Canis lupus familiaris: one gene and its partner. The protein of the gene in region 1 interacts with the protein of each later gene in a pairwise test. Links are inferred from orthologs where the notes say so. Each region holds a gene or a part of one and is shown in the gene's direction. Other genes may lie near its edges.

The links.
Region 2: the proteins of VPS52 (region 1) and NFKBIB interact in binary tests that used the Homo sapiens proteins (3 or more experiments, as listed by UniProt). The two-hybrid records come from large-scale screens. The link is inferred for Canis lupus familiaris from reciprocal best matches to the Homo sapiens genes VPS52 and NFKBIB.

Annotation. Positions count from the first base shown.
Region 1 is NC_049233.1:2,863,770-2,869,861, reverse strand, and holds the start of VPS52 (vacuolar protein sorting-associated protein 52 homolog), read left to right. Parts: upstream 1-1,962; 5' UTR 1,963-2,234; coding exon 2,235-2,324; intron 2,325-3,159; coding exon 3,160-3,244; intron 3,245-3,378; coding exon 3,379-3,431; intron 3,432-3,614; coding exon 3,615-3,690; intron 3,691-3,880; coding exon 3,881-3,948; intron 3,949-4,247; coding exon 4,248-4,423; intron 4,424-4,816; coding exon 4,817-4,967; intron 4,968-5,264; coding exon 5,265-5,365; intron 5,366-5,477; coding exon 5,478-5,610; intron 5,611-5,748; coding exon 5,749-5,806; intron 5,807-6,092. Other genes in the region: RPS18 (40S ribosomal protein S18), read right to left, coding at 1,250-1,348, 1,789-1,791. UniProt on the Homo sapiens protein: Acts as a component of the GARP complex that is involved in retrograde transport from early and late endosomes to the trans-Golgi network (TGN).
Region 2 is NC_049222.1:115,000,150-115,006,322, reverse strand, and holds the start of NFKBIB (NF-kappa-B inhibitor beta), read left to right. Parts: upstream 1-2,435; 5' UTR 2,436-2,520; coding exon 2,521-2,699; intron 2,700-6,173. Other genes in the region: SIRT2 (NAD-dependent protein deacetylase sirtuin-2), read right to left, coding at 2,056-2,181. UniProt on the Homo sapiens protein: Inhibits NF-kappa-B by complexing with and trapping it in the cytoplasm.

The DNA of each region.
Region 1 (6,092 bases):
AAAGACATAATGCATTACTACACATTCAATACTGAAATACTGATTAGAGTAAATATAACTTGCATATGCACTGGGAAACCAAAATATTTGACCCACTTTATTGCCTAGAACTGAACCTACAATATAGACCTGTGATATGCAGGTCTATTCACTATCCCATTTAAGCCTCATAGCAATCTTTAAAAGTACTAGTATATTTTATATTGCCTTACTAGTTTCAAAAAAACAGAAAAAAGCAATCTTCTTATTTACCATTTAAGAACAAGTGAAAATTGTACATCCTGCAATAAAACAAAAGAACCAAAGAAATCTAATCAATCTTATGAACCAAAGCTAGAACATATAGCTTTGATTGGTCAAGTTACCTAATACTTATGTTTCCTTTAAATTCTTTGAAACCAGGCTACAGCATCCCTGGATCCATTTCTAACATTTCATGAGCACCTATTATGCACCAGGAGCTGGGAACTGTGAACAAAATAGGACTACCCCGTTTTGTTCAGTTCTATCCCTGTCTATCCCTGCTCCCACGGTGTCCACACACTGGCAAAACCACATTCAACCATATCCACAATTACATATACTAACAAAAACAAAACAAAATGATGGAATGACCCCAACTGGAAGGCCAGTTCATTAGGTCAGTGAAAGAAAACACCCAAACTTATGCTCACCGACCTAAGGCATAATATGAGCCAAATACCGATGGTTCCTATGAGGTAGAAAGGGGAAATGCATTGTATTCACCTCTGACATTGGAATAAATACTGTTCACGATGTAATGATACTCCTCCCACTTCCTAACTATAGGTTTCTTCACACTTGGCAGTCTGTTGGCATTTCGACTACCCACCATGTATGATTACAAAATTTCTAGGGCATGTAGATCACAGGAAGGGTAGCTGTCACGATGCTCTGCAGTGGGGAGCAGAAGCAGAAACCAAACCTAGAACGAACTTCACAGGATGACAACAGGTGACGGTCCAACAAACTTTTAGTGAATTCTAGAAGCCGAGGGAACCCACTCCCCATCTAGAGTATCTTGGCTTGATGTGCGACTCTTCTCTGGCTTTCATTACTTACCTTTTGGTGGAAATGATGTAAGAGACCAGAGGACTAGTCACTCTTTTAACCGTTCTTTAGTTTACCCAGCAGCTAAGGTGATCTGGTTGGGACATGTCTCCTGGACCCTTCCTCACTTACAGCTATCCTGTCTCATTTACAGGCTCCGTTCCTTACCCTACCTTACCTTAATTGCTGTGATGGCAAAGGCTATTTTCCGCCGCCCATCGATATTGGTGTTAAGTACTCGCAAAATGTGCTGGAACTTCTCAGGGATCACTAGAGACTGGCAGAGACAGGGGGAGAAACAGGACACCGTCAACCACCATCAAACAGTAACGTCAAGAGGAACGTCCGGGTTGTCACACCGGGAGCAACAACCCTCCCCCCTTCAGTCCCGCTCGCAAAACCTTAAGTGTTCAAGCTCGGGAAAACGCAACCTCTGGGAGGGGGCAAGTCTTCTGCCCGTTCCCAAAAGTACACTGAGAGGCGGAGACCTCAGGTCCCCATTCACGCCCAAGCCTTTTCGCCGGTTTCGAGTGACTCTTCCTCTGGCCTACTCCACAGAACTGGAAGTCCTCAGTCATTCCTTCCCAGGGGTGCGCTCCAAAGATTCACACAGAAAGTTGCTAACCCCTAAAACAGGGCGTTTTCTGATCCCTAACAGCAGACTTTCCGTGTCCCGGTTCCGATGTCGCCGGATCCCCGCACGAAATCCACTCTTACCATGGCAGCAGCCTCTGCAGCGGCGTGCGGGCCTCCCGTGGAAGAGAGAACGGAAGTGACATACTAGGCTTATATAGCTATCAGCGGAAGAGGCGGAGCGATCACGCAGGAGCGCTTCCGGAAGCCGCTGGTGCCAGAACTAATTCAACTATGAGAATCTCTCTTCTTTACCAGAACTTCCGGTGCGGCCTCTCTTTACATGTTCGTAAAGTCCTTAAGAGGGAGAGCAGCAAAGGTTCCGGGGTGCGATTGTGCTTCAGATATCCAGTTCCCATTTGCAGTTGGGTCAAGTGGTTAGGGCTGAAAGGGGAAGGCTGGAGTCCAACAACTTAATTCAAATATCTGGGAACGATTTCGCTCTCTGCAAGACCCTCTAGGATTTGTAGGTCCACCCCAGGGACGGACCTACGGCGACTGGACAGCTGCCGGAAGTGAGGCTACGCAGAATGGCAGCTGCTGCGACCATGGCGGCGGCTGCGCGAGAGCTGCTGCTGAGAGCCGGGACCTCGGATATGGAGGAGGAGGAGGGCCCGCTGGTGCGGACGTGGGGCTCTTTCTCTCCGGAGTCTTGTCCGGGGGTCCTCGCGTCAGAAGGGCCTGGGCTGGGTTTAGGCAGAAGAGTGGGCGAGCGGCTGTTAACGGTGATGCTCCCTGTGTGTTTTTCCGTATCCGTCCTTGGAGTCGGGTCTGAGTCTGCCCTGGAGTCAGAATGGCCGACTCAGGTGCCAGTGGCAGAATTTCAGTTAACTTCCAGATCTGAGGGCAGAATACAGCGGCAGTATAGTGTAAAGGTTAAGAACGTGACTATGGTCAGATCGCCTGGGTTCTAATTCCAGCTTTGCCTCTTGCACGCTGTGTGTCGTTGGGCGGGTTAATCAGTTTCTCTGTGTTATACTTTCCCCACGTATAAGGTGAAGGAAATGATAAGACTTCACCGTAGAAATTGTTGGTTATGATTAGATGAATGAATGTATGAAAAATGGCACCTGGCCCGCAGGTAAACACTGTTAGCTGACATTTCTAGAAGGGCAGGTGATCCCCACAGGGATTGTGATAGAACACCTAAGATAGCAGGAGTCTGGGGATCCTACACTCAGCTGTAAGTTTAGCCCTGTCCTCTGCAACTCCTCCTTTACTCTTGTGGTGACTTTTGAGTCTTTTTGTTATATTCCCTACCTAGGAGCCCCAAATAGCAGATTGGGGACAGTGTGAGACTTTTGGAATTTTTTGACCCAGTGCCCATGGCTTCCCAATAAAAACCCAGCCCAGCCCCACCTTCCCCAAACCTTGAAGGTCTGTGGATTATCCCGTTATATTTGTTCTCTCTCTCTCTCTTACTGTGCCCTTTCCTGTTGACTTGTCCCTCTCCAGGGGGGTGGCCCTGGTCTTCAGGAGCCATTGCCACTTGGAGAATTGGACATCTCCTCTGATGAATTTATTCTGGATGAAGTGGATGGTAAGTGATGGCATGAGGTGGATGCAAACTGCTTGTGATCCAAGAGGTATGGTGCTGGAAGTAATAAGGTGGGGAATGGTGTACAGATGTTCGTTTGCGGGAGCTGGACCCTTATGATAAATTTCTATTTCCAGTTCACATTCAGGCAAATCTGGAGGATGAGTTAGTAAAGGAAGCTCTTAAAACGGTGAGGCTTTCTGCTGTACTGATTTATCCCTCCTCTTACCCTCCCCTCAAAGAGGAAAAAAAAGGACAGTCTCTCACTCTTACAACATCACCCTGGTGTCTCACCTTCTAGTCCTTTATTGATTCTTTCTAGGGTCTCTTCACTGCCACTTCCTCTTAACCTGTTGTGTTAATGTTCCCCTAGGGTGTGGATCTCCGTCACTATTCAAAGCAGGTTGAGCTGGAACTACAGCAGATTGAGCAGAAATCCATTCGAGATTGTATCCTCCAGTAGAGAAAAAGGGTGATGTTATTAAAATAGAGATTTTGCGGAGCATGGTGCATGCAGCCCAGCAGGGGCTGACATCTTCTCATGGCAGTTTCTGTCATCTCTGGGAAAAATGGGAATAGTCCCACAGGTCTGAGAATCTCCAGCTTTATGGTGAGGCCCCTTGACTTTTTGTGGATTAGATATCCAGGAGAGTGAGAACATAGCGTCTCTCCACAACCAGATCACAGCCTGCGATGCTGTTCTTGAGGTTAGTAACCATGACCTGTGATCCCTCTTAACCCTGAACCAGATCATGGTCTGGTGTTGTTCTTTAAGTCATCATCCTCAGGTGGGGATAGTTAGATTCACGTTCAGGATGACCTTAGCAGACCTTTTTGTTGCTACTGCCATAACTAATGTTATTTGCCAGTGACCTTTTGGGTACTTCTTACCTCATCACCTACCTTCGAGGACTGATACTGAAGACTTTACCAATAAACTTAGGTGGCCCATTTGTCCCTTGCCAACCCTTTGGTGCTCCAACAACATCTTCTGTCCTCCCCCCAGCGCATGGAGCAGATGTTGGGAGCTTTTCAGAGTGACCTCAGCTCTATTAGCTCTGAGATCCGGACACTGCAGGAACAGTCAGGAGCCATGAATATTCGGCTTCGAAACCGCCAGGCAGTTCGGGGAAAACTTGGGGAACTTGTCGATGGTCTGATAGTGCCCTCTGCTCTGATCATGTAAGTTGCCATTTTGAAGAGTTACAATGTCTATAGCAGGTAGATGGTCTAGGATGACCTACCACATGGGTCTCCTGGCCTCAGCTCTTCAAGCACCTTCCAGAAACTGATGGGTGGTTGACAACTCAACCTTGATGCATGCTTTAGGCATCAAAGATTAGGAATATCCAGAGTCAGGCATTTAGTTGGGAGGTTTAGTTGGGAGGTTTAAGGCTTTATGGACGTGGGATTGGGGGAGGTTCCAGGAACAGGAGACTTTGTACACGTATCCTGACTATGTGACTTAGCGTGTGAAGGGAGAGGTGACAGGCTGGATGTAAGGAATATAGTTTGGGACCTACTGATGTCTGGGTCTCCCTCCTATAACCCCTTCCACCTGTCCCTGCTACCCAGGGCAATTCTGGAGGCACCAGTGACAGAGCCTAGGTTCCTGGAGCAGCTGCAGGAACTGGATGCCAAGGCGGCTGCAGTCCGAGAGCAGGAGGCTAGAGGCACAGCGGCTTGTGCTGATGTCAGAGGCATACTTGACCGGCTACGGGTGAAGGTGAGGGGTGGGGATGATACCCCCAAGATTACTAGAACCAGCCTCCCTGACACCTTCAACCTGGGTTTCCCCAGCAGCGCTCACTGTAGCCCATCCCCAAGAATTTCACCCTGCCTTTACTGGCAGAGCTCATCTTCACATCTCTAGGTTCCCCTGAACACTTTCAGAAATACTGATGAGGTCTTCTCCAACCTCCATCCTCCTGTATTTGAAATGTGACCCTCCCCCCACCATTTCCATAACAGTCATAAGGTTGCAGCTTCATGCCCTGTGTTTGTTTCCTCCCCCCATGTCCAGGCGGTGACGAAGATCCGAGAGTTCATCCTTCAGAAGATTTATTCCTTCAGAAAACCAATGACCAACTATCAGATCCCCCAGACGGCCCTGCTCAAGTACAGGTCAGTGCCCAAAGGAAAGGCTCAGCATGGCCTCTGGGCCATCAGTCAGCCTGGTGAGGGGTCTGCTTTCTTGGGGAAGGTGGGGAGACTGACTTGTCCCTGGCCTCTCCAGGTTCTTCTACCAGTTTCTGCTGGGCAATGAACGGGCAACGGCAAAGGAAATCAGGGATGAGTATGTGGAAACGCTGAGCAAGATCTACCTGTCTTACTATCGCTCTTACCTAGGGCGGCTCATGAAAGTGCAGGTGAGGCCAAGGAGGGAGGCATGGCTAGGATTGGGGAAGAGGGGCCACCCCCAGGCAGGGCTGGACAGTGGGGAAAAATTGTTTTATCACAACAGGGGAGGAGATGCTTACTGGTTCCCTTTTCTCTTTTTTTCTTAGTATGAGGAAGTTGCCGAGAAGGATGATCTAATGGGTGTGGAAGACACAGCAAAGAAAGATATCCTAGAACTGAGGAACCCACGTAGTAGGCCTTGATAGTGACAGTGCCTCAAAGGCACTGCTTCTTGTCTTTTTCTCTGGGACCAAAACCTTTGAGAATGTGATAATGGCTATCCCCCTCCCCCCCTGCCGCCCGAAAAAGGCATGCATCCTTTTGACACATAGTTCTACATGTGATGGCAGGGAGGGTAGGAGCTCTCTGAAGCCCGTTCCCGGGTGTCAGATGAAGTGGGGCCAAGGTACTGGGAAGGAGGGACATCTAGGCTGTGTCTGGCTGCCTGCGG
Region 2 (6,173 bases), on another chromosome or scaffold:
AAGCCCTGGCCTGACAGGAAGCTTTCAGACCCTCAGTGTGGCCCTCTGTGCATCTGTCAGGTGCCTTCATCACAGCTTCTGTGCTGCCCTACATCTGAACAGCGAGCTCACGTCTGTGGGGGGTTGGCATTCTTTCAGGCTGCAGACAGTGAGCCTCTGTGGAAGGACTCGAGGGCCCTGCCCAGCATGTGGGAGCGACTTGGGCCTAAGGGGGAGCTGGAGGTGCTGGTTGGGGCCTTCAAGTCTTCGTGAGGTGGCCTGGCTACCTCTTCCTGAAGCGTCTGGAAGGCAATGTGCTGGGTGCCGTGGGTTGCAAAGCAGTCCCTGCTCTTCTAGCTGGGGGGCCAGAGGACAAGTTACAGAACAGCTCTGCTGCAGATTCCTCATCTGTGAAATGGCCCCAGTAGGCCTTGAACTGCCCCCCAACTACCACCACCACAGGGATTCTGGGAAGGTGAAATGCTATGATGTACACAGAGCACTGGGTGGAGTACCCGGCTCAATAAATGCTAACCTCAAATATAATTAGCTAACCACCCACAGCTACCAGACCATTGACCACATCACACCCTTCGTGCCCCCCTCCCAGTCCTGGTACAAGCTGTACACTCTGCGTGGAACGCCATTTCTCACTGTGCCTAAGAAAATTCTAAGTCACTCTTCACTTACTGTCAAGTGTCTGTACCTCAATCTGACTCCTGGACCGGCCTGTGGATTTGCCCTGGGAACGGACCGGCTGGAAACTGTTGACCCTCACAAAGTTTACTCTGCCTTGAGCTACTTTCATAATCACTCTGGAGGGTCATTTCTAGTCACTTGTCTGTGGGATCTGGGCGTTCAAGGACCAACTTGGATGCCTGTCTCTTCCATGCCCAGCATAAATGAGGTTCAGAAAGGTTAAGGGTAGGGAGCAAGGAAAGAGAAAAGTCAGGGAGGACAGGTCTGGAGTTGAGGGTGCACAGCTTTTTCTGCCAGTCCCCGGAATCCACCATTCCCAGGGGGCCGAACCAGGAGTGGGGGCAAGGGGCTGGGGTGATGCCCTGAGGGCCCTGGGGTAACTGTCTCCCCTCTGCCACCTCCACCCCCCCCAGAGTGTGGGGTGTGGGAACACGTCCATTTCTCTCCTTCCCTCCACCCTTCCCCAAATCTCACCTGAGCCTCCTGCACCTTCCCTGCCTGGGTCTCCAGAGGGTCAGAGGCTGGGGGAGGAGGGGGAGCAGACGTGGTTACAGTGCGGGGCACAGTTAAGTGGGGATGAAGGGCTTCAAAGCAGAGGGGCAAGGGGCAAGAAGACCCACCAACCTAATTATACTGGGGTGGGAGGTGGTGGTAAAAGCTGAGCAGAGGGAGGGAGGGGATGGGGAAAAGCAGATCTTATTAGGATAGACAGTGCTGTCTGGAGAAGTGGTTAGTGACAGACAGAGGCTGGGGCAGGAAGGTTTGGGAGAGGGAGGAGAAAGTAAAGCATACAGGCATGGAGGAAGACTTAGAAGTGAGGAAGCAAACAGTAGTGAGTGTGTGTGTGAGCACGTGTGTGTGCAGGGAGGGTTAGGGTTTACAAACAGAGGGAAGTTTAAAAAAGGAAGAGAGAAAACAAAATACGCTTAGCAGAGACAGGTTTAGGAAAGGAGGTGCAGTGGAGACAGCACGTTTAGGAGGGGCACAGGAACTAGAGGGACGAGACAGGAGGGGGCGCCAGGGGTCCCCGAGCATCCTACAGTTCCCCCTAACAACCAGGTACCCTTAGCAACCGGGGCCGCGGCAATCTAAGTCCTTAGCAACGAGGGTCCTCAGCAACCGAGGTGCGAGAAACACGCGGTCATTAGTAACTTAGGGGACGTAGCAAAGGACCCTTACAATCTCGCGACCCAGAAACCCACCAGCCTGGCAAGATGGATCACTTAGCAACGACCCCCCACCCCCGCCCCGATTCCCACTGGCCGCCATGCAGCCCCCGTCTCCAGCCCCACCACGCCGGTCCTCGGGCCCCGGGGCCTGCAGCCCTCAGCCAGGCCCCGGTGCGACCCGACCCTCCCACCGGGGCCCCCGACTCACGGTCCGGCTCGGCCATGGGCGCGGGGCGGGGGCCCTCGGGGCTGTCACCGACTGCTCTGTCCCGTGACGGCACCGGAAACAGGAGGGGCAGAGACAGGGCAGAGAACTACGACTCCCAGCAGTCATCGAGGATGCATACAGGCTTTTCGTCCAGCGGCGCCTGCCGCTCTCGGGCTAGGAAGACACGGACGGCGAGACTACGAGTCCCAGAGGGCTCCGCGCAGGCAGCCATGTTGGTAAAGGGCGGCCGGAAACTGTGGGAATGGGTAGAGAGCCGCAGTCCGTCTGAATACTCTGAATGGTCACTGTGTGGTAAGGGGGCGGGGCGTGTGCTCTTTAGGTCATTCTGATTGGGTGAGCCAAGGGGGAGTGTTGGGGAATTCCCCGCAGGGCGGAAGCGCCGGGGCTTCAGGCAAAGCCAGCTACAGGCGGGCGGCCGCTGGGGCCCCTGAGGCTTCGGGGGCCATGGCCGGGGTCGCGTGCTTGGGGAAAGCTGCGGAGGCCGACGAATGGTGCGACAGCGGCCTGGGCTCTCTGGGTCCCGACGCAGCAGCCCCCGGAGGACCGGGGCTGGGCGCCGAGCTGGGCCCGGGGTTGTCGTGGGCGCCCCTCGTCTTTGGCTACGTCACTGAGGATGGGGACACGTGAGTGAACCTTAGGCTGCCTAACGGGGCCCTAGGATCCCACCTCTGATTCCCTATTAGTCTCCTATCCCGGCTCCCTAACCTTTCACTCTTAAATCTAACTTCTGATGCTCGACTTTCTGATTTGTAACTCCTAACCTTTAGTAAAACCAATTTCCTAGCCAACTTTGACCCTAACTCCTTAATTTCTCCGACTTTCCTTTCTTGAGCTCTGCTTCATATTGCTCCACATCCCTATCCATTGATCCCCAAACTGGTTTTGATCTTCCCGACCCAAGTCCGGAGACCTTTGTTAGAGTTGTGGTCCAGACAGGCTCCTCCTCACCTCCTACCTCCAAATAGGATCCTTGATCCTTAGCCTCCTGATGGATGCGCCTTGAACTTAGATTTCCAAAATTAATACATGACCTTGATTCTTAACATTCTACCTTCTGAGCACCGATCTTCAGATCTTACATCCAAAGGGAAAACGTAAGCTCCATGATAGCAGGGATTGATGCCTGTTAAGTATTTGCTGAACACCACCACGTTCCAGGCACTGGTTTAGGTGCTGCGATAAAGCAGTGAGGAAAACAGACAAAAATTTCCGCTCTTGTGGAGTTTACATTCTAAGGTGCGTATGTAGACAGACAAAAGGACAGACAGGCTGACAGAAAGACAGGAAGGAAGGGAGGGAGGGAAAGAGGAGAGAGAAGGAACAAAAGAAACTAAGACACAGACGCAAAGTGAGAAAGAAGAGAAAGGAAAAGAAGAAACAAAGAAAAACGAAAAACAGTATAAAGGAAAGGCAGAAAAATAGTGTATCTGAAGGTAATAAGTTCTTTGGGGGAAAAATAAAGCAGGAAAACGAGATCCGTAGAGTATCTGGGGGAGAACTCTCCAGGCAGAAGGAACCAGAATTGTAAAGGGCGGTGAGGGATTGTCCTGGGGTTTTTTTGTGTATTTGTGTCTACTCATCCAGTCATGGTGACTAAACAGGGCTTGACCCATAAGAGGCGTGCAGGAAATATTGTTCTTTCCAAAGACCCCTGCTGAGGTTTCATTAGTTTTCTTTATTGGTTTTTTGCTTTCTATTTCATTGATCTCTGTTTTGATTTTCATTATTGCCCTCTTCGGCTTACTTTGGGTCTAATTTTTTTTTTTCTTTCTTTCTCTCTTTTTTTAAAGTTTCTTAAGGTGGCAGCTGAGATCATTCATTTGAGACCTTTCTTCTCTAACATTGGTGTTTCATGGTATAAATTTCCAGCAGCAGTACTTTAGCAGTCTCTCACAAATTCTGATATGTTGTGTTTTCATGTTCATTTAATTCAAGATACTTTGTAATTTCTCTTTTGATTTCTTCTTTGGCCAGTGGATTATTTAAAAATATGTTATTTAGGGCGCCTGGGTGGCTCAGTTGGTTGAGCTCAGGTTGTGATCTCAGGGTCCTGGGATGAGCCTCCCATTGGGCTCTGTGCTCAAGTGTGGCATCTGCTTGGAATTCTCTCTCTTTCTCCCTCTGCCCTTCCTGCTTATGCTCTCTCTAAAATAAATAAATAAATAAATCTTTTAAAAAGGGGTAGGGGGCAGAGGGAGAGGGAGAGAGAAACCCAAGCAGGCTCTGTTGGGAGCAGGGCGTGATCCCATGACCCTGAGATCAGGGCCTGAGCTGAAGCCAAGAGTTGGTCATCCAACCCACTGTGCCACCCTGATGCCCCTAAATAAATCTTTTTAAAAAAATAAATATGTTATTTAGTTTCCAGATATTTGGAAAGTTTTCCAAATGTCTCTCTTTTATTGATTTTTAATTTAATTCCCTTGTAGACTGAGAACATACTTTGTATGACTTGGATCCTCGTAAATTTATTGAGAATTGTTTTATGGTGCCACACATTATGCGTGCACTTGAAAAGAGTGAATATTCTGCTGTTGTTGGGTGTAGGGTTCTCTAAAAGTCAATTAGTGGTCCTATTGGTTTATCATTTTATATATCCTTACTAATGGTTTCTGTCTCCTTGTTCTATCAATTATTGAGGAGGGGGCATTGAAATCTCCAGCAGTCATTATGGATTTGTCTCTTGTTCTGTCAGGTTTTGCTTTGTGTAATTTGATGCTCTGTTATTAGGGCATGGATATGTAGAATTATTATGTTCTTTTGCTTAGTTGACCTCTTAATCATTACAAAATAACCTTCTCGATACTTGGTAATATTTCTTGCTCTAAAGTCTAGTATGATATTAAAATATTCACTCCTGGGCAGCCCCGGTGGCCCAGCAGTTTAGTGCCGCCTTCAGCCAGGGCATGATCCTGGAGATCCGGGATCGAGTCCCACATCAGGCTCCCTGCATGGAGCCTGCGTCTCCCTCTGCCTGTGTCTCTGCCTCTCTCTCTCTCTCTCTCTCTCTCTCTCTCTGTGAGTCTGTCATGAATAAATAAAATCTTAAAAAAACACAACTCACTCCTGCTTTCTTTTGACTGACTGGTGTTAGCACAGTATATCTTTTTCCACCCTTTTATTTTAACCTATCTTTTAATACCTATATTTAAAGGGTATTACTTGTAGGAAGCATATATAGTTGGGTTTTGCTTTTTTGTTCAGTCTGACAATTTCTGCCTTTTAATTGGAATGTTTAGACCATTTACATTTAGTTATTGATACAGTTATGTTTATCATCCTTTTGCTAATTTTCTACTTAATACATCTCCTTTGTTTACCTTTTCTTCTTTTTCTGCCTTCTTTTGGAACCTGTAAACCTTGTCCCGTTGTATTCTTTTTTTTTTTTTTTTTTAAAGATTTTTATTTATTTATTCATGATAGTCACAGAGAGAGAGAGAGAGAGGCTCAGAGACACAGGCAGAGGGAGAAGCAGGCTCCGTGCACCGGGAGCCCGACGTGGGATCCGATCCCGGGTCTCCAGGATCGCGCCCTGGGCCAAAGGCAGGCGCCAAACCGCTGCGCCACCCAGGGATCCCTATTCTTTTTTTTTTTTTAAAGATTTTATTTATTTATTCATGAGAGACACGGAGAGAGAGAGAGAGAGAGAGAGAGAGAGAGAGAGAGAGAGAGAGAGGCAGAGACACAGGCAGAGGGAGAAGCAGGCTCCATGCAGGGAGCCCGATGTGGGACTCGATCCGGGGACTCCAGGATCACGCCCTGGGCTGAAGGCAGGCGCTAAACCACTGAACCACCCAGGGATCCCCCATTGTATTCTTTTGTTGGTTCATTAGCTTTATGTATTTATTTAAAGATTTTATTTTTAAATTTTATTTATTTTGTGGGGGAGGGTCAGTGGGAAAGGGAGAGAGAATCTCAAGCCGACTCCCAGTATGGAATCCCATGCAGGGCGTGATCTCACAACCCTAAAGATCATGACCTGATCCAAAATCAAGAGTCAGACACTTAACTAAGCTACCCAGGCGCCCCTTAAGGTGTTTTTAAGTAATCTCTGCACCTAACATGGGGCTCGAACTCATAACCCCAAGATCAAGAGTCGC